Linked DNA regions of Drosophila melanogaster. The protein of the gene in region 2 interacts with the protein of the main gene of each other region in a pairwise test. Each region holds a gene or a part of one and is shown on either strand. Other genes may lie near its edges.

Region 1 (5,824 bases), on a different chromosome or scaffold from region 2:
GACCAATCGTTAAAGGCAGAGCGGGTGATTTAAATCGGATGCGCAATTTAAGAAACATATTAAGTTCTCGTTATTGTTTGAAGTTGAAATAATTCGGTGATATAATTTTAAGCTTATAAATAATAAAATAAAATATATCAAATATAATGTTAAGTCAAGTCCAAGTAATAATTTCTGAAGCACACTGCTATTTACCAATTTAGGGTGACCATTTAGAGTGTCTGATGCCGTTTGCCGTTTAGTGTACGCTATGGTCACTTTGCTGCCGGCTTTTTTTTTGTATGCGATTTGTTTTTGTGCGATTTATGCTGTGGTCCTGATTGTCCTTCTGTCGAAATGCGTGCGCCTGATGCGCTCCTGCTCCGCGTCGCTCTCCTGCTTCTACTGCTGACCACCGTCCGCGGAACCCTCGCCCCGGACAGCCACAAATCGAAGAGCAAGACCAAGGAGAGTGCTCTGCGTGGCGGTCCGCAAGACCAAGATGTTTTCGATCTGGGCTTGGTTAGTCCCGAGCCCCTGGCCAAGGATATCGTGAGCAATCATCGCGGGTACTTCAAGGAGACGGGATTGCGACGCTTCAATGGCACCACCTTGGGCTATGTGACTCCAGTAAGCAGAGGACGTACTCCCACATTTTGTGCATGTGTATTAATCTATTGTTTGCTTTGCTTGTAGTGGAACTCGCATGGCTATGATGTGGCTAAGATATTTGCCAAGAAGTTCGACATTATCTCGCCGGTTTGGCTGCAGATTGTTAAGCAGGGAGATCGTTATGCCGTAGCCGGAACCCATGACATCGATGCGGGTTGGCTAACCGATGTCCGGAGAAAGGGTAAACAGGTGCACAATCAGCGAACGGTTAAAGGTATGAGAAAATGATACCCGCTGGCGTTAGTCTAAACTCACTTTCCTTGGATTTCAGTGTTTCCCCGTTTTATATTCGATCACTTCACTGATCGGGACATTAAGCTCTTGCTTAGCGACGCCCAGGAGAGGACGAAAGTCAACGACGTGCTGATCAAGTGCTGCAAGGATAATGGCTTCGATGGACTCGTCCTGGAGGTGTGGTCCCAGCTAGCTGGACGCATAGATGACAAAATTCTGTACACACTGGTTTTGCAAATGGGTGAGCTTAATGCGTTGTAACCCTTTGTTTGTTATTAATAATTTAAATTTCTTTTACGTCACTTAGCCAAAGAACTACAAAAGCAACAGCTGCGACTCATTTTGGTCATTCCTCCATTCCGCAAGGAAACAGGCCACCTTTTTGGAGAAAAGCACATGGACAAGCTGTTCAAGCACATATACGCCTTCTCTCTGATGACTTACGACTTCTCCAGCGTGCAGCGTCCCGGAGCAAATGCACCATTATATTTCGTCCGTAAGGCTGTGGAGACAATAGCTCCAGAAGGTTGCGCTGATATGACGGCTAAGAGGGCTAAAATTCTGTTGGGACTGAATATGTACGGGAATGATTACACGCCCGATGGAGGTGGACCCATCACCTTCTCCCAGTACTTGGATCTAGTCAGGCATGTGAAGAAGCACCTAACTTACGATGAGCGGGATGTGGAAAATTTCTTTGAAATCAAGTGAGTTTTCTACTGCAGCGTATGCAGAGTGTAAGGCGAAGATGATGAATATCATTACTTTCAGAAACGATGACGGTCGCCACATTGTCTTTTATCCCACTCTCTATTCCATAAACGAGCGAATAAAGCTCGCCCAGGAACTGGGCACTGGCATTTCAATCTGGGAACTTGGCCAAGGCCTAAACTATTTTTACGATCTCTTCTAGTTAGCCTGTAAGCAGCATGCAATGCACAATACCTATTCCAAATAAAGGAAATTATATATAAGCCATAATGCTTCATAATTTTTCCAATTTACAATTTTAGTAACCAACTTTGAAATGAGGCGCCAATTTGTTAGTCAACCGACAGCCGCTTGACAGCACTGTTTAATTTATCGAATATTTTAAATTTATATCGGGCCGTTTACTCGTTTAAAACGATACTATCGCTGATGGTTTTTCAGCTCTAGAATAAATTTGTTATTATTTTTTTAGCCGGTGAGAAATCCTGAAATGCGCTTTCTTTATGCCTGCTTTGTGATCGTGCTGTGCGCCCTGATCTTCTGCGAATATGTGGCGGACTTTGTGGTGCTGCAAAAGTGCAAGTGGCCGGAGATAAAGCGAAAGAAGTATGTGGACGATCCGCTTAGGGCAATGATTCTAGCGGATCCGCATCTGCTGGGACCGCATCGTGGTCACTGGCTGGACAAGCTCTACCGGGAGTGGCACATGACGCGGGCCTTTCAGGCGGCATCACGTCTGTTCCAGCCCGACGTGGTCTTCGTCTTGGGCGATTTGTTCGACGAGGGCGACATGGTCAGCGACAAGCAGTTCCAGGAATATGTGTGGCGCTACCTGAAGATGTTCCACCTACCACCGGGAATTCCGCTCATCAGTGTCGCGGGAAATCATGACGTGGGCTTCCATTACAAGTAAGTCAATAAGAGACTATGTGTATTCCCTGATATTTGTTAAACCGCGCTCTTGTGTGTTTTCCAGAATGCATCCCTTCTTTATGTCGCGTTTTGAGAGTTATCTGAACAACTCCTCGGTCAATTTGTACACCATTAAACAAATCCATTTTGTGGTGATAAATTCGATGGCTATGGAAGGTGATGGTTGCATGTTTTGCACCCAGGCCGAGGATCAGTTGAAAAACATTTCGAGGACTTTGTACTGCATGAAGTATCCACTAGAGGCGGAGTGCGCTCGCACCAGGCGGCACCCGTACAGCCAGCCAATTCTATTGCAGCACTTTCCCACCTACCGCATTTCGGATACCATGTGCGAGGAGCACGATGCTCCGTACATCGAGGCGTTCCGAGAGCGGTTTCATGTGCTCTCCAAGGATGCCACGGATATGCTGGGAGAGCTGCTTAAGCCAAGGCTGGCATTCGCCGGTCATTCACATCACTTCTGTCACAGTGTAAATCGACTGGGCATCGATGAGTACACGGTGGCCTCATTCAGCTGGCGAAACAAAGTTAATCCCAGCTTTATGCTGGTGAGTATTATATTTGCTCTTACGATTGTTAGCCCTTCGAACTTGTACTAACATGCCATAACTTTTAGGCCACTATAACCCCCGATGACTATGTGGTTTCCAAGTGCAAAATGCTGCCACAGCAGTTTGTCTTCAATAGCTATCTGAGTGCTGGCATTCTTTGCCTAATTGTCATCGGGTTCCAGCTACGAAAGTGCATCCAAAGCAGAAGACAGTCGTCGGCTGTAGATCATCGGAAGGTTAATTAGTATGTATAAGCATGCCTATACAAGGCATATCCTCTTTTGTGATTTACGCCTGATTGGGGCTTAGTTTAGACTAGATACGCCAGATTCCAGACTCAGATCCCAGATCCAGATCCAGACAGAGGTCATATCATTCCTGCTGCTTTGCAACCGCTTAACTATATTCTAGGTGTACAAAATTCGGATAGTATGTATGATCTATTTATTGAATTTATCACAGACATTATGCTTGTAAAGTCAAACGGAATACATAATGAGACACAGTCTGCTGACTACAAATCGAAAATGCCAAAAAAATAATGCTTGAACAAAGGCTGGAAAGTAAAGAACGGATACAAACAGAACAATTAAATAAAGCTATATTATAATACATTTACTATATAACGTTAATGATTGTGCACTCTGTATTCTGAGATGCAGATTCATAGGTTCCTGTACTTCGGTTTATGTCTTCCAATATCTGGATCACATTGTACTAGACTAGGCTATCTATAAGGTAACTACCACAAAGCAACTACAACTACAAACTATGCTAACAAAACAGGGTGTGGAATTCAATGCCATCAATTCCATTAGTTTGGCACAGGAAGTTCTGGTTCGTCTATTTTAGGATACGTTTAAGAGGTTTTTGTGCGCCTGCGCATGGAGATTGCGACCACTAAAGCATTCTTTTGGAAGGAATCTAGAAGAAAAAATGGGTTTAATAACAGAGGTTAAACATGTGGTTACAAAAATTACCTGTGAATCACTGGTGATATTAGATCCGGATCTAGTGTTTTCATATTTGTGGGTTTGGTCACAAGGGAGACTAGTGCACCTACCACAATGACTGTGGCCACACCAATGGGATTTATCCAGTGGTAGGACAGTCGGTACAGTGGAAAAACTTGCTCCTCATCTACCCATATATTTTCCCGAAGCGTTACATTGCCCACACATCCCTCCACGGATACGGGAAGCTTTTGAGAATTCAATTCACCCGCTGCGATGGTAAACTGCGTTCCAAAGGATATCCACCCGGCGAGCAGAGCACTTGCAATTCCGCCCACAGCAGTGCCTACAGTATTGGCCCAGGGAACGAGCATTCCCAGGGTAAACAGGCCAAAAGTGGTTCCAGCTGCGATGGCCGTCATTGAAGTGCAAATGCTCAGGATTCCACTCAGTTGTTCCAGGACAAATACCAGTGATAGGGCCACAAAGCCAAGAACTATAACAGTTGACTTTACCAGAATGGTGGAGGCTCTTTCACTTGGTTGCATCTTGAAGCAGCCGCGAACTATATCCTCCAGGATTACCAAGGACGTTGAGTTCAGAACCACAGAAAGGGAGCTCAAGGCAGCTCCAAATATGCCGGCTATAAACAAACCAGACATACCATAGATATGACCCACACTCTGAACGACAAAGAGCGGCAGTAGCTGATCGTCGTGCTGCAAGGAAATAAACGTAAGTAAAGTTCAAAAACAATTTATTATTTACTCACTGTTATTAGTCCCGCACTCAGAGGATCACAATCTTTGTACATCTCATAGATTAGCAGTCCCACATAACAACAAACAGAGACGAAGGCAGCCACGCCAATTGTAAAAATGGCCATGGAAGCACGAGCCTTCTTGAGCGATGGAAGAGACATGTATCGCTGGACCATGGTCTGGTTGACGGCATTGAATGAGGTCCAGTAGGAGAATCCCCCGATTAGGACGCTCCAAACAGTGTGCCTTACATAAGGCGATGGGTTTGTATTGTTAAAGATCAATCGGCCACCTTTGGCAGCATCATCGAAAAGGACATTCAAGCCATTTGCATAGACAGTGGCCAAAATAGCCACAGCAAGAACGGAAAGGAACATGACCAGCACCTGCCAAGCATCTGTGTGGACCACTGCTTTGATTCCTCCCTGAAAATAGGCGCCATTAGTATAAAAACATACGTATGAAACTCTCTAAAACTTACGACAAAGGTGTAGAAAACACACACGACCACAATTACCACTGCAATCACATGGAGATTAATGCCCGATACTGCAAGATTATCGAAAGATTAAAGTTGTGTTTCAAACAATTAACAAATGCGGCTTACCCTGATTCAGAGCTATAGCTGGTACATACACAATGAAAGGCAGAAACAGAATCTAAAATTGGATCGACAATTATTACAACATTGCAGTCCAAATATTATCTTTGACTTACCTCATCCAGAATAAACATAAAGGATGCAATACTTCGTACGACCGAATGAAAGCGCATCTCCAAGTACTGAAAGCAATATTATATTTCATAATTCAAATGACTTGCGTTTAGGATTCGAAAACTAACGTCATAAAGACCGAAAACGAAAACTAATTGCTCGACACAATTGTCAAGTGGCAGAAAACCACATTGCAATTAATCATATCGAACCGCTGGAACCCAGAAAAAAGTCGCAACAAGTGGGCGAGTGCAAAGTCCAAGAAATTCCACTTGAGGGGAGGGTGGTCTCCGATTCCCAGTTAATTAAAGTGTT
Region 2 (7,464 bases):
CAGGCCCATGATAATCTTGTTCTGAAAGCCAATATGGTATATTGTACAATTCGTTACAATCCAATCAAAGTTTAAATGAAACCGCACCGGCTTGGTGTACAACTCGAAGTTGATCAGCCGGAAGACTCCGGTGCTTCGCATGGATCGGATGCCATCGCCAGGACCCTGCTGCTTTCCTTCGCTCATCCTCGTCGTCTTCTCCACTAAATGCTCTGCACAATTATATTGTAAACACAAACATGTGAAAGGAATGGGATTTGGAATAGTGTGACCATCGAACTGCAAAGTACCCTCTATGTAAGGCACAGTGAAGATTGCCACTGATGTGACACCTTGGTTCCTTCTAAAAAATTGTAATCATTAAAAATCTACTTAACAATCCATTTGAAAATGAAAATGCTATTTGTCTAAAAAGTAATGTTTCCAAGGATCAAATATTAATTGGGGGATGTTTTTGGAACACACAACTGTTGAATATTTTGAAACAGCTGACTGTGTAAGTAATGTTTCCAAGGATCAAATATTAATTGGGGGATGTTTTTGGAATACACAACTGTTGAATATTTTGAAACAGCTTACTGTGTAAGATAGCCATTCACAGTGAAATTTCAATTTCGAAAAAAAAAAACAGCTTATAGGACCAATATCAACAAAATGCCTTTGAACCGCGCTATTTATCTTAATTTACTTGAATACTCCGATGAAGACGAGGGCTTATGGCCTCGGAAGCTAAGGATCCACCAAAGTACACACAACTTCCAAGAGCTTCAAAAGCCAGTAGATTAGTGGTTTTACAAAAAATATGAAAACGGTTGGAGCATCCGAATTCGGGTTCGTTTGTTGACTGACTTCAAGAGGAACCCTCTTTGACGCACTGAATCTGCCTAGGCAACGCTTACTAAGTCCCGAGGACGAGTTGCTCCTGGCCCTGCGTTTCTACGTCTGTAGAAATTTGGATGCCGCTTTCGAAGGCCTCTGCATGTTAGGCGGTGGGGGAGGTTTCCCTACGCATTGCGGCCATGTCCAAGGAATGGTGGATTTCCAAAGAATCCCCCCGCTTCCAAATGTGATGAGGGGGGGTCGGGTGCACGCACATTGGGCTCCACTCTCGGGGCAGAACCACGGCGACGTCTATTGCAACTGCAGGGGATTCTTATCAATAAGAGGCTGTCTCAGATGCGCACTTTAGCATCCAAGATGTCGGTGCACGATGGCCTGGTTCAACCGGAAATAGAGCTATCTTCGACAGCAGTCGACTAAAATCCAGGTGGGAAGCCGGCGAGTTCGAGGAACACTATCTCCTAAGCAATTGGAACTACTCGCTTAACAAATATATGATGACCCCCCTTATAAATCCCACCACGGAGGCACAAAGTCGTTATAACGAGTCGCACATAGAGGTTTCCCGTCCTATCCCTTGGAGTGTGAATGCCTATCCAGGGAGGAAAAGGACCCTTTGCCCCAACCTTCTGTTGACATGGACAAACCCTTTAAACTGTCGGACGACGAGGAAATCAATGACAAAGCTGATAAAAACGATGAAAATCTTAGAAACATAATTAGTAAATTCTTTGGAATTTGATGTACATATTGAGAATTTTTAACACTACAAACTTTAACTCATGAATCCCTCAGGAAGTCCCATTAAACACGTAATTTAGCCAACGAAAATGCATCTAAAAGTGTACATTAAGTTTTCTTTTGTTTTCAGCGATTTCCAAGAAGAGGAGCTCCCGCTTCGCACATAGGGTTTCCATTTCCTCCACGTGCTTCTCCTGAGCGCGGATGTTTTCCTGTTCATAAAAATGTCGGTGTGCTCTGACCAGGCGTAGCTTTTCCTCTTGGAAAAGTCTGACGGTACGGGGGCTTAACCTTCCGGCTGGGCTCCTCAGCGGGCCAGTCAGTTCCGGCTTACTATACGAAGAAGCCGCGTGTTCATTGGAGTTCTCCCCAGGGAACTCGAGTATGTCTCCGCTTGAAACCGCTTTGCAGTCTTCTATGGTAACTGGAAACTGGACTCGGTTTAGCTAGGTGAAGGACATTAAGGAATCCGTACTCACAATCGCTGTCCGAGTTTTCACCTATCGTATCATTGTTCCTCAGGATCTGCCTGATATGTACAGCACTGTTTTCTTATGCTCTGAATTCAAAAACGTTTTTCAGCTTGAAATGTCAAATTTAATAATTTTTGCCTGCAGATTAGATATCCATAGGAGCGGGAGTTACACTATCGATTGCATTATAGTTTTTGGGGAAACAACAAGTTGACTTCCAAACTACAAATTATATCTTACAGTTATTATACCTGGCAGTAGCAATATACATATTATCAGGGGTATTCAGCTAGCTATTTCATAGCTATAAATGATTCCCAGGGAACAAAGGTAAAAATGTTGCACGTTATCGTCAGCTCATTTTCATATTTATTTTATTAAAACAAATTTATTTAAATAATTTAACTACGGTGCTCTTTGTCACTACGTGAAGGACAGCCTTAGAAAACAACACGGAAGTCCGCATGGAGCACTCAAAACTTTGAAATAATAATCCAATTTGGCGTACTTTGTGCAACATAAATTTTAATAATAAATTATTGTATGAATCTACGCTTGTATATTTACATATTTTGAGGTCAGTGAAATTCAAATTGGTATCCGCGGTCCACAAAGCTCAGACCGCGTTCCGAGTCGACTGGAAAGTCGGCGGTGAAGACAATATATCCTCTATATTCCAAAGAGCTCTTTAGGTTCTGCAATGGATTGATTGATTAGATAAAAGAAGAGCGACATAAACAAGAAATAGTAACCGCTCTATCCACAAAGTCCTCAAAGCCACTTAGGTCGTAGTAGAGCTTCAGAGGTGGCGAACGTCCAACTCCCGTCTTCTGCTTGAACGGCTCCCGCCGCTTAAGAATACTCAAGGCCCGTGGCAAAAATGTTGGCGTCAGATTTCGGCAGTAGGACACGTCGAGGTGTTCCAATCGTGGACAGAGTTCCACGAATTCTAAGAGGATTTCGTCGCTTAGGTCATTCCAGTTGCGCACGCAGAGCAGCTGCAGCTCTGTCATACAGGTATAGCGCTTTAGGTAGTCTGCCGAATGAGTCCAGCTGCAAATGGCCAGGCGCTTCAGCCTGCGATGCGTCCAGATGGGCAGCTTCTCATCCCAGCCCGGTTCAAGGGGCATATAGTACCCGTCCACGGCAAAGCCGACGATGTCCTTGGCCTTGAAAGCCATGATCTCGTAGAACTCGCTGACCTCGCGGATCTTGTGGTCATAGCTATCCGGACTGACCAGCGGGGGGATATGCCACTCGTTGTCCAGCAGCACCACCAGTTTCCTGAGGGAGGGCAGCTCCAGAACGGCGGGTAGAATGGGTTTCAAGGTGGCCAGATTGAGCTTAAGATCAGTGAGGTTCTTAAAGCTCTGCAGGCAGTTTCCCAGCTGAAGTTTACTGATCATATCGTACGTCCTAATGTCCAGGACCCGAAGATCGTGCAGCGTGCTGTGGCGCAAACGGAAAATGAGTTGCGAAATATTATGCAGCAGAAGGTTACTACTTACCGGCACACCTCGTCCAGGTACTTCTGCTGCAGCTCAAACGCCTTGTGCTGGTCCTCGTAGAGGTGCAGCTCCTGCAGGTGCTGGAAGTTGGATAGGTACCGCCCGTCGATGGGTGTGGTAAGGCGCAACTTTTTCAAGCCCGGCAGCAGGCGGGCCAGCTTGCGGATGCTTCGGTTCGTGGGATAGCAATCGACGCCGTCTGGGTCGTAGTAGAAGCTGGTCACCATGGGCAGCTCTGCAATGTGCATTTCGTCCAGATCTTTTAGAATGGAGCACAGACAGCTGCTGCCGCCCATTTCTCTGATGTACGGACGCATTTGGGTTAGGAAGTAGACCAGGTCTTCATGATTGGGCAACAGTACCCGCCACTTCTCCAGATCCAGTTGCTCGTAGGCATGGCTGGTGCGCCACTTGCTCAGACATATGTACTGCACTCGCCGGCAAGTCCTCGCGAAGGACACTTCCGACGGCAGGTCCTGCAAGCGATCGAAAATCTCGGCCAGACAGTCGTCGTCCAATTGCAGAATTAGGGATCTCGGCTCGGAAGCCATGGCCCGGGATGCGATCCTCGCGACACAATCTAGGTACAGAGTCTGTTAAAATAGCCGGAGCGAGAGATAGTTTCTGTATTCTGGATCGTTTCAAGCAGGTCAACTCAATTGAATAACAAACAAAAATACATTTTGGTGCTCCCCCAATGTGACCAGTCGTGGATGGTCTGAATACCTCACGCAAAAAACGTAGGTTCCTTACATTATGTTATATATACGCTAATTGTTTGAATACAATTTAATAATACAGTTTAGTAATTTATATATATATACATAGACATATAGACATATATATATATAACAAATTTAACAATACAAATTTATTGTTATATATGTCTATGTATATATATATATATATATATATATATATATATATACAAAACTAAAATTACAAATTTATTGTTATATATGTCTACATATATACATATACATATATATATATACATATATATATATACATAGACATATATAACAATAAATTTGTAATTTTAGTTTTGTCTAACGTAGCCTAGCGTTATTTCTAATTTCAAGATCTTTGTCGGTGTGGCATAAATAAATGATTACAATTGATTGGCATTTTCGAGTTATTCTTGGGAAGAATACCCGCTGCATTGACAGTGTTGAGAAACGGGGTGCAGGGGTGGCCACACCGTTGGCAGCCGCGTAGTGCTGCCATACCACTGATAAGTAGAAAACACGTGTGAGTGCGCATTCTTTTTTGTGGGACAAGCGGCTAGTAATTATTTGCGGACGGAAAATATTGACGAATAGTTGAATTAATCATGACAGACCTGCTAAAGATAGCCGATGCAATCGTCCTGGAGTACTTGCAGTCCAAGGACAAGAACCTAGCCAAGGTTTTCCAGCAGAAGACGAAGGCGGTAAGTTTCAGTGCAGAGCGGCAAGTGCAATATGTGCGGTTTGGATGCACCCGAAACATGTGGTATCTGCGTCCTCCTGATCTAGAATCCGAGGGCCTTGCTGTCCGCCGATGGCTCATCGAGCTGTCCACCTGCCACTTGCTGCAAGTGCCACGTGCTTCGTCCAGATAACCAAGAATTTCTGCCTTTTTCTAACTTGCAGGCCAGTGTCGCCAAAAGCAGCCCAAAGTTGAGTGAAATCCTTCAGTTCTACCAGACCAAAAGCCCCAAAAAGATCCCAGCAATCAAGGCGACAGCCGGAGACTCCAGCGAAGACAGCGACTCAGACTCTGAGTCTGATGCGGCGCCTAAGAAGCCAGCGACAGCTCCTGCACTAACAAACGGCAAGGCTGTCAAAAAGGCAGCTTCTTCAACCAGCGAGGACAGCGATTCAGAGGAGGAGAAGAAGCCAGCAGCAAAGGCCACGCCGGCCAAGGCTGTCGGCAAGAAGGCAAAATCCTCCAGCGAGGACAGTTCCTCGGAGGAAGAAGCACCCAAAAAAGCTGCTCCAGTGAAGGCACCTCCGGCCAAGGCGGCTCCCGCGAAGAAGGTTGAGTCCAGCAGCGAGGATAGCAGTTCCGAGGAAGAACCGGCAAAGCCCGCCGTCAAGGCCACAACGACTAAGGTTGCTCCCGCCAAGAAGGCCGACTCCAGCAGCGAAGAAAGCAGCTCCGATGAGGAGACTAAGCCAGCTGCCAAGCCTGTAGCCAAGGCTGCACCGGCAAAGAAAGCAGCATCCTCCAGCGAGGAAAGCGACTCCGATGACGAGCCAGCCGCCAAGAAGCCTGCCGTCCAGCCTGCCGCAAAGCCAGCTCCTAAGGCAGCCGCTTCTAGTTCCGAAGACAGCAGCTCAGAGGAGGAGGTCAAACCCGCTGCTAAATCTGCTGCCAAGTTGGCTCCTGCTAAGAAGGGGGCTTCCTCTAGTGATGATAGTTCCTCTGAAGACGAGGCACCCAAAAAGGCAGCAACTCTCGCAAAGCCCATTTCTAAGGCTGCTCCCACCAAAAAGGCCGACAGTTCCACTGAGGATAGTTCTTCGGAAGACGATGCTCCTAAGAAGGTAGCTCCAGCAAAGGCTACGCCAGCTAAGGCAATTCCTGCCAAGAAGGCAGCTTCCAGCGATGACAGCTCCTCGGAGGAAGAGGCGCCCAAGAAGGCAGCTCCAGCAAATGCCACGCCAGCTAGGGCACCTCCTGCCAAGAAGGCAGCTTCCAGCGATGACAGCTCCTCGGAAGAAGAGGCGCCCAAGAAGGCAGCTCCAGCAAAGGCCACGCCAGCTAAGGCAACTCCTGCCAAGAAGGCAGCTTCCAGCGATGACAGCTCCTCGGAAGAAGAGGCGCCCAAGAAGGCTGCCGCCCCAGCAAAGGCGACACCGGCCAAAAAGGCCAAGTCTTCAAGCGAAGACAGCGACTCCGATGAGGAGGAAGCTCCCAAGAAACCAGCCGCGAAGGCCGTTGCAAAGGCTGCTTCTTCGGAAGATAGCGATAGCTCAGAAGACGAAAAGCCAGCAAAGGCTGCTCCCAAGGCTCTGGCCAAGTCTGCAAAGGCTGCCTCCTCAGACAGTGACGATTCCAGCGATGAAGAAACGCCGGCAGTGAAGCCAGCTGTCAAGAAGACTGCTGCTCCTGCGAAGAAGGCTGACAGCAGCAGCGACGAGAGTGACTCTGGTGAAGAGTCCGGCGAGGTCAAGCCCAACTCAGCTACCAATGGCAATGAGAAGACCGCTCAGAAGCGCAAGTTTAGTGGTGGCGACCAGGACGAGGCCACTCCCAACAAGAAGTACAACAACTTCGTCAAATCGGGAGAGCAACAGGTAAGGCGGTGTAACTTATCTATGTACATCTAAAATTATCCGCAGTCCGCTTATGCATGTTTTCCTTCAGACATCAATTTTGAATGTCGGATAAAAATAATTCCTGAGTTAAAGGATTCCCTTAAAAGTAGCTTTTTAAAGCCCTATTGAAATTTGAGCCGAACTTTAAACAGCACATAATTTTGGCTCCTTGTCCGATTCCTGTGCAGACAGTTTTACATAACTTCATTGCCATTCGCAGAAGAATGACTTCACCTCCACACCTAACAACACCTTCAGCCGAAACCATAATATGAACAATAGCGGAGGGGGAAGTGGGCGACGGTCGCCCTTCCGAAGGGTACGCACCGAGGACGTGGTGGTGGACTCCCGAGTCCAGGACATGTCCTTCGAGGCGAAGGTAAGTGCCGCAATGGATTTGAGTCGCGTGGGTGTGTGTGTTTGCGACGGCTGTTGAGGATTAGGCGAGGGGGATCTTTCTACGAGGCTGAAAGGGGCAGACACACAAATTAGCAAGTTGCTCCTCGAAGAATCTCAAACCACTTGTGGCACTTTCCCAATACATTTTGAACTTATATATCAAATCAAATCGTTGCTAATTTGTGGTTTGCCCCTTTC
Region 3 (8,768 bases), on a different chromosome or scaffold from region 2:
ATACAAATTCAAAACTCCAATCTCAGCAGCAGATAAATAACCAAACTTAAAGTAAACACCAGTCAGAAAATTTCAATTTCACAATGCTGTGAAATAATTTCAGTATAAAGCTTTTATCCTAAACATATTTGAAGTTCCAGAAAATTCTAAAAAATTTCTAGGTTGAGTGGATTAGGATTTAGATTTAGAAAATCAGTCTAAGTCCGGACGAGATTGTGAACATTTTCAAATTAAGGATAAGATAAGATAAATAAATTTTAAATTTTAATTTACATGTATCTACATATGTTGGCTGTTGTCTATCCCAGTTTCGAAAACAATGCATGTAAAAAGCGTGTAGTCACAGAAAAATTATATCTCCACGAAAACTGTGGATTAAATTGTAATCAAACTTTTTACACAAATAATGAAATTACAACATTTTTAAGATACCGTGCAATTTGAAGTTTATTTAATTTTTTGGAATTCACCTCCAAATAACGATTAAGAAATAAATACAAAACGTCTGCCGTGCTGATGGCTCAGGCTTTCCTCAGGCTGGAGTACCCCCCATGCCACAGCTCTAAACACTAAAGTCGATAACCACCGACGTCTCACAACACTGAAAATGTAAGCAATGTTAAAGCGAACACAAAGACAAAAAATTTAAATGTTTTGAAATGCTTAGAACATCACACCTTTTGGTAAATCGGAGTCCGAATTCTTTAAATAATTCTCGGTATATATATTAATTATTTTTTACATCATTTACATCTCAATCCATTTCTCCATCAGTATATGGTATCACACTTGGATCGACGACTGCTACATTGGATAGGTCAAAGTGAAATGTGTGGATGGCCTTTGGAAGCTACAAAGGCTGGAAATAGTGGTAGGCGATGTGCCAATTTTTGGCGCATATGGAAGGTTGCAAGTATTGATCACCGGCGGCTACGGTGGATGTGGCTCCAATTTATTCTTTGGAGTAAATTTCCGGTTTGGTGGATAAAAAAGTTCCAATCGACTGACAACCAACAGACAACTAAAAAAATTTGGCGCTCAACGATCTTAGCCATTGACAAATATGAGACTTTCTGATTTTTTGAGCTATACATTTTGTAAATTTTTGTTTCTTTAAGCTTAATGGTTTTTTCGTTTGTTTATCTTAGCCTTTATATATTTTCTTAGTAATTAAACATGTATTTATTTTGTATCTATCTCTTTGTATTTGTATTTTTTTGTATGTATCTCTGTTTGCCTTTTCGAAAGCCACATCTAGGCACTTAACAGTTTAGACCTTTAAAACTCGGTCTGTACAAAATGGATCATTCTTCTAGATCATACACTTACCTTTAAGGCATAACCCTTAACTCACTTTTGAAATCTTTTGAAAATGTATATTCTTTTGAACAAAAAGGTTGGCACTCGAGAGCAATAGCAATACGTATAAGCAATCGAAAAAAACGAAAATCATAAAAAATCCTAACATTATTACAGTTCACATATGAAATCAATTTAGGTTTGTGCACTTACAGTTTTTTAAGAAAATGGCTTTGGCCAGTTTTTAGGCAGGAAGGTAAAAAATTTGTTCAGTGGATCGGCGTTGACAATAAATTAAGATCAAAACAAAAGCAAACGTTTCGGTAGTGGAGACACGACATTCTTTTTACATCGAATTTTTTGTCGAGTTCAAATATCGATAGATTATATCGATATCGTCTTCGTCTGACAAACCATTTCACGATACCAAAAAAAAAGTGCAAAAATAACTAAATTCTCGGCGTAATTATTTAGTAAATAGCGTAGCTAAGCAGCAGGTGAGTAGGTCGCAAGCGCGCCCCTCCACGATCCATCAAGCGGTAATTGGCCTGCTGTGCAATTGCTCGAGGACAAGGCCATTTGCCTGGTGGCCCCCACGCAAAAAGTAAGCGATTATGCCAAAAAGCAAAGCAGAAGTGGTCTCTGCCAACGCATGAGGGTCGCTCGGTCGCCCATTGTTATATTTGCGAAGGCAGAATCAGTCGGCGTTCTAATTAGCGTGCACCCTGTCCCATCAGAAAACCCTTCCAAATCCATATCCAGACGGACCACGGATTAGGACTAAGACCCATTTGACATGTCGCTCAAGCCCAAAATAGTGGAGTTTGTCGATGTTTGGCCGCGCCTGCGCTGCATCGCCGAGTCGGTGATAACGCTCACCAAAGTGGAGCGCTCGGTGTGGAATACTAGCTTCAGGTACGTCTTGGCAACGGTCGGAGTATTAAACAGCCTGGAGAGAGATATTGTGATAGGTCACTAGAGACTACAAAGTTACCCAACTCAGAAGAAACACAAATAACACTAACTAACTTTTAAATTAATCCAACATAAGTAATGGTTTCAATCACATTATTTTGCATTTGAGTTGGTAAACTATGAATGTACTAGTACCTAGCGGTTCAACTATATATTTTATTCAACAGCAAAATTCACAAATATAGCTGCTAGCGAGGCGAAAATGATTTGGTAAATGTCGTAGAATCTTGATAAATGCAATCATAGTTTTAATAATAAATGCCTGTTTTCTAGCTTGAATTTAAATATTTTGACCGCTTAAAGGTTAAACTAAGTTCAAGTAAATATTAAATAGATCGATGACGTATCTTTTTAAAATTAATAATCAAAACAGTGTAACGCAGGCTGCTTTTATTCTGACCGCAACTGTTCGTATATATGTGTGAAGCGTGAGTTGCCAAAATAAAATTTCTAAAATAACGAGCACTAATACATCTGTCTTTCCAATCACATTCCTTTAACATATAGCGACGTTTACACACTGTGCGTGGCGCAGCCGGAACCGATGGCTGATCGTCTTTATGGCGAAACAAAACACTTTCTTGAGCAGCACGTCCAGGAGATGCTGGCCAAAAAGGTGCTGATCGAGGGAGAATGCTCCCATTCCAATGGTGGCCCAGACCTTCTCCAGCGTTACTACATCACCTGGATGGAATATAGCCAGGGTATCAAGTATCTGCACCAATTGTACATGTAAGAATGCATCGAAGTCTGTAATAACTCAATGATCGTTGGAATTAATTTCCTTTAGCTACCTGAATCAACAACACATCAAGAAACAAAAGATTACCGATACGGAATCGTTCTACGGTAATCTGTCAAGCGATGCTGCGGAGCAGATGGAGATTGGCGAGCTAGGTCTAGACATTTGGCGCCTGTATATGATTGAGTACTTGTCCAGCGAACTGGTCCGTCACATACTCGAGGGCATTGCCGCAGACAGAGCTAGCAATGGCACCTTGGATCACCATCGCGTGCAAATTATCAACGGAGTGATACACAGCTTCGTGGAGGTACAGGACTATAAGAAAACAGGCTCGCTTAAGCTCTACCAGGAACTCTTTGAAGGCCCCATGCTGGAGGCCAGTGGCGCCTACTACACAGACGAGGCTAACAAGTTGCTCCATCGGTGCTCAGTGTCGGAGTACATGCAGGAGGTTATCCGGATACTGGAATATGAAAGCCGGAGAGCCCAAAAGTTTTTACACGTCAGTTCCCTGCCAAAACTACGTAAAGAGTGCGAGGAGAAGTTTATTAACGATCGTTTGGGCTTCATCTACTCGGAGTGCCGCGAAATGGTTTCAGAGGAGCGGCGCCAAGACTTACGCAACATGTACGTCGTACTAAAGCCCATACCCGATAATCTCAAGTCTGAGCTCATAACCACCTTCCTCGATCACATCAAAAGTGAAGGTCTGCAGACCGTATCTGCGCTGAAGGGCGAAAACATCCATATTGCGTTCGTAGAGAATATGTTGAAGGTACATCACAAGTACCAAGAGCTGATCGCAGACGTCTTCGAAAACGATTCTCTATTCCTGAGCGCATTAGACAAGGCGTGCGCCAGCGTTATCAATCGCCGGCCAACCGAGCGGCAGCCTTGCCGTAGTGCCGAGTATGTGGCGAAATACTGTGATACGCTACTGAAAAAGTCTAAGACCTGCGAGGCAGAGATCGATCAAAAGCTTACTAACAACATAACCATATTTAAATATATCGAGGATAAGGATGTGTATCAAAAGTTTTATAGCCGACTGTTAGCCAAGCGCCTAATCCACGAGCAAAGTCAGAGCATGGATGCGGAGGAGGGAATGATCAATCGTTTGAAGGTGCGTGGTCTGCTAGTCTAAAATGTACTTCACAGTGAATAACTGCAATAATGTGAATTATTTATTTTTAATGCTGTTTTAATTTGTTATGACCCTTTTACAAAACTACATTAGCTTAAATAGATCTTCTTTTATTAATACTTACAGCAAGCCTGCGGTTATGAATTTACCAATAAACTTCATCGCATGTTTACGGATATATCGGTATCAGTAGATCTGAACAACAAGTTTAATACTCACCTTAAGGATAGCAATGTGGACTTAGGTGAGACGGAAAATGTATATTCATTAAAGATAGTTTATTTTTATGTATGTGTATTTCTATGCAGGCATCAACCTTGCCATTAAGGTACTGCAGGCGGGCGCGTGGCCCTTGGGATCTACTCAAGTTATACCATTTGCAGTACCACAGGAATTTGAAAAATCTATTAAAATGGTACGTTTTTCGTAAATGTATATATTTTATTTTAAAACGAGATAGAAGCTGCCTTTGACAAACCAAAGTTATAAAAAATTTTTTTCAGACTTTCTTTATTTAGTCAAATTTTTAAAGAGAGGCCTTTTAACAATATTCAGAAACATATATAAATATTTAAAGCAGCAATAAATACAAATAATATATAATAATAAATACAGAAAAACCTTTATGTAAAAAACTTTCCTTCAAATCGACGACTACATCGTAAGGTGTTCTCTTGAAATGTGTGACATATAGAAAGTTAAAAGTATCTTTATTTCAATAAAGGTACTTTAGCATACCAAATCAAAACGCAACTTCTTTTGGTCCAAATACATCTTAAACCGTGTGACTTTGTCGAAGGTACTTCAGAAATTTTAAATGTATACGTTAATCGTGTACTGTACCTTTGTTATGATTTTTCAGTTCGAGGATTACTATCATAAATTATTTAGTGGCCGGAAGTTGACTTGGCTACATCACATGTGTCATGGAGAATTAAAGTTGAGCCATTTGAAAAAATCTTATATCGTGACTATGCAAACATACCAGATGGCGATAATACTGCTGTTCGAGACTTGTGATAGTCTGAGTTGTCGGGAGATCCAGAACACCTTACAGCTAAACGACGAAACGTTTCAAAAGCACATGCAGCCTATTATCGAGTCAAAGCTTTTAAATGCCAGCTCAGAGAATCTCGCCGGTGAGACTCGAATAGAATTAAATTTGGATTACACAAATAAGCGTACAAAGTTTAAAATAAGTTCGGCTTTGCAAAAAGAAACGCCACAGGAGGTAAGGCATTTCGATTTCAACCTGGTTACCTGGTACCTGGTTTTCTAACGACGTTATTTATGTAGGTTGAGCACACAATTAACTCGGTAGATGAGGACCGAAAACTCTTTCTACAAGCCGCCATTGTAAGGATTATGAAAGCGCGTAAAGTCTTAAAGCACAATGCCTTAATACAAGAGGTAATATCTAAAACACCTGACTGTGAATTAAAATTACATGATGTATTTTTTCTTTAGGTTCTCTCTTTATCGAAGGTTAGCTTTACTCCCAACATAGCAATGATCAAGAAATGCGTGGAGTCATTAATTGACAAACAATATATTGAGCGAACGGCGAACTCGGGCGATGAATATAGCTACATGGCATAGACTGCGGTAGAGATTTTTTATTCTTAAACAAGAACCTTCCCGGACAACAACCTCCCATACACACAACTGACGCTAACCAAGCGGCTTATTTTGTCTAAAAAGAACTACCTACAATGTTAAAAAAAGAAATCAAAAGGTCAAGCAATTTGAGTTTTGTTATTTTTGTGGTCATAGCATATTGGTATGAAAGGTGTGTGGAAATCAAACGACGTTACTGATACTTTTAATTTAGCTTAGTTAGTTGATCCATTTTGATTTAATGCGTGTGTCCTATTCAATTGTAGATATAATATATTTCTTTATGTATTGTATATTTATCTGGTTTTATTAACACACGCACAAACCAGAATAATGTGCTGGAAAATGTATAATAAATCCCAAAAAATGTCTAAAAATATGTCATTCAAAGTATTTCGTATCCTGTGCGTTAACGCTGTACCACTGTACACTTCAAATTTACATAAATGAATGCTGTGCAAAAAGCAGTCAGCATTGCAGTTTAAGTATGCGGATAGAGATCTGTACTTTTTATTTGGTCGTCTCGGAAAAAACTGGATCTATTGTCCGGAATCCCATTCTTATAATTTTTTGATTTTCTAGTACTTTTTAATAACGAATCCGGGTAGAAATAGGCGTACCACCACCTACAAATTGGCATATCGTATATTGAGCTTTGAGTTGTCAAAGTGCCAAAGAAAGTGTAAAAGCAAACATTTTTCGAAACTTTCAAGATTGCTAAGATTCTTAGATTTTGTTTTAAAAGAGCTTTTAAGGACTTTCCCATCTTTTTGTTTTTGCTCACACATTTTATTGGACCTTGGTTTAAAATATAAAATTCCCTTAAATTCTTTTACTAATCTTAGAATGTCGATTTTATTAATTTACAATACCTTGTACGTATGTTCAGTAACCATTTAAGTTTCGCCTTTGCCAAGAAATCCAATATTTGTATATATTAAATACCCAAGGGCCGTGGATTATATTTGTTTTTAGTCATTTTTATTTCTTTTGTGCTACTTTTCTAAAAAATATATATCATAATGGTAAATTAATTAATTTTACAAATATGTATATGTAACTTAATAGTTAATTATAAAAATTATTAACTTCCTATATCAAATAACACTAGTTCATTGAACGGAATAAATAAAAAATACTTTTAAGTCGCTGATAACATTAATTTGTTTTGATAAATTCGGTAGAACATGATTGTAATTTGTTTCGCGATAAAAAAAGCGGTCCCATAAAAATCTTTTTAACGCTTCTGAATCCATGGCCATACCCTGAAAACAACTGCCTTCAACGACTTAAAAGCATTTTGGATGTAATAGCTGTAACTGTAATACAATTCGTTAATAATAATTTTATCTTGTTTTTGAGTGCCACAGCTCCCGCTGATAAAATGATTCCAATATTTATGTTTTTGGCATCCACTGAGTGTTAATAAAAAATATGTTATCTTTCTTATACATTTTTTATGGTTCATTTTTTATATTTAATGACTAGTAAACGTTTACATATTGCAATTTTCCTTTCCAACCACTCAACTTCATTTTTGCTCAAAATTTGAGAAAAGCTTTCTCTGGTAAAATCGTCTTGAGCATTTTATAAGTTTAAAGTTTTTATGTATTAAATTACTCTCGATCTTGTTTTTATTATCAAACATTCGTTAAAATGTGGAGGGTTTAACTTCATTCTGTTTCAGTTTTTGGAAATTCTATACGTATCAGTTTTAAGAATTTTTTTATAATCTCAACTTGATTTTCCTGTGTTGCACTCTGGGGCGTGGCAGATGTTCGATTAATAATTTACATGAGATAAAAAAAATATCTCATTTTATTGCCCGTTTCTAGCTCCTTTAAATACCTTGCACAACTTTAAATTGATGTAAGAAATAAAGTGTTCTTGCCTAGAACCCTAAACGGTTTAGTCGTAGTCCAAACTATATATATTATATATATATATATATATACATATATAATATATAATATATAATATATAATATATAATATATAATATATATAATAATATATAATATAATATATATATATAATATATATATTTATATATATTCCTCATACATATACGAGTATGTATACAGATTTAAACTAATTCAGTGCTTTTAAATTTCTTGTTGCGCCACAATGCTGCGTGTATTCGGTTAGATTTTGGTTATTCGATCATTGGTCATATAACTACAGTAATTGCTTTAATAGTATTTTAAAAGATGAGTGTTGACCGCACATTCACTTTACACTTTATTTTCTTTGACTTGTAGGAGTGAAATCTTGTTTGTATTTGTTAGGTTCATTTTATTTATTTTGCCATTTTTTAAATTTAATTTTATCTTTCTTAGCGTTTTTTTCATTGTCAGTCTTTACGATTCACGGCTTTTGTGCATTTGAATTTTCCAATTGTCTTCTTACTGTATGACCAATACGAAATTTTATGTATTTTTTCAAGGCGAACGAACACAAGCGCTTTGCTGATCGAATGAGCAGGTGAGTGACTAGGTGAGTGCAAAGATGAACTGGCAGGTTTCGACCCGATAGAAGTTAATGCACGGTTATTATAATTTTCGATGCTACTATACACATATGTATGTGTATATAAAACAAGGGGTATATCCAAGAGGGGATTTTTACTGATCTAAAGAGACCGTTTTGGAGCGTTTCCAAAGAGATTTAAAAAGCCCCTTTTTTTTAGGTTTGTTATTCGTGGTCGCCCCCGAGGCTCCATTGTCTTTGCGATTGGTATCCTTTCGCGTGGTGGATCCTAGAAAAGTGTTTGGTATCAAAATTAAAGTCTTTTGAAAAGTTTTTTCAAATTTATGTTAACGCTACCGATTAACTATCAAGAACCTGCTAAGGAGAGGGAGCTTTTAAATTGCACACAAGCTTTACCTACGAGTATCTGCTAAAAAATTCATTTAAATTTAAACCAAAATTTTTAAATTTAATCTAGCGTTAGGGACGTCAAGTAAGCGTGACAATATTTTGAAGCAAA

The links.
Region 1: the proteins of CG7148 (region 2) and PGAP5 interact in a two-hybrid assay, tested with the Drosophila melanogaster proteins (one large-scale study listed by BioGRID).
Region 3: the proteins of CG7148 (region 2) and Cul2 interact in a two-hybrid assay, tested with the Drosophila melanogaster proteins (one large-scale study listed by BioGRID).

The regions. Positions count from the first base shown.
Region 1 is NT_033779.5:8,196,957-8,202,780, forward strand, and holds PGAP5 (Post-GPI attachment to proteins 5), read left to right. Parts: upstream 1-1,996; 5' UTR 1,997-2,086; coding exon 2,087-2,505; intron 2,506-2,572; coding exon 2,573-3,077; intron 3,078-3,145; coding exon 3,146-3,324; coding exon of another isoform or gene 3,325-3,325; exon of another isoform or gene 3,326-3,389; coding exon 3,390-3,399; 3' UTR 3,400-3,696; downstream 3,697-5,824. Other genes in the region: CG8460 (uncharacterized protein), read left to right, coding at 337-609, 676-865, 923-1,126, 1,193-1,592, 1,657-1,798; SLC5A11 (Sodium/solute co-transporter-like 5A11), read right to left, coding at 3,929-4,004, 4,061-4,752, 4,806-5,219, 5,276-5,343, 5,402-5,453, 5,512-5,577. UniProt on the Drosophila melanogaster protein: Metallophosphoesterase.
Region 2 is NT_037436.4:21,827,984-21,835,447, forward strand, and holds CG7148 (uncharacterized protein), read right to left. Parts: upstream 4,271-7,464; 5' UTR 4,114-4,270; coding exon 3,563-4,113; intron 3,504-3,562; coding exon 2,807-3,503; intron 2,750-2,806; coding exon 2,633-2,749; 3' UTR 2,561-2,632; downstream 1-2,560. Other genes in the region: CG32448 (uncharacterized protein), read right to left, coding at 1-21, 88-186; Nopp140, read left to right, coding at 4,896-4,994, 5,197-6,846, 7,088-7,246.
Region 3 is NT_033779.5:21,657,059-21,665,826, forward strand, and holds Cul2 (cullin 2), read left to right. Parts: upstream 1-1,676; 5' UTR 1,677-1,903; intron 1,904-2,036; 5' UTR 2,037-2,095; coding exon 2,096-2,214; intron 2,215-2,781; coding exon 2,782-3,006; intron 3,007-3,064; coding exon 3,065-4,142; intron 4,143-4,289; coding exon 4,290-4,407; intron 4,408-4,471; coding exon 4,472-4,578; intron 4,579-5,025; coding exon 5,026-5,394; intron 5,395-5,459; coding exon 5,460-5,573; intron 5,574-5,630; coding exon 5,631-5,762; 3' UTR 5,763-6,640; downstream 6,641-8,768. Other genes in the region: CG2225 (uncharacterized protein), read right to left, coding at 8,404-8,537.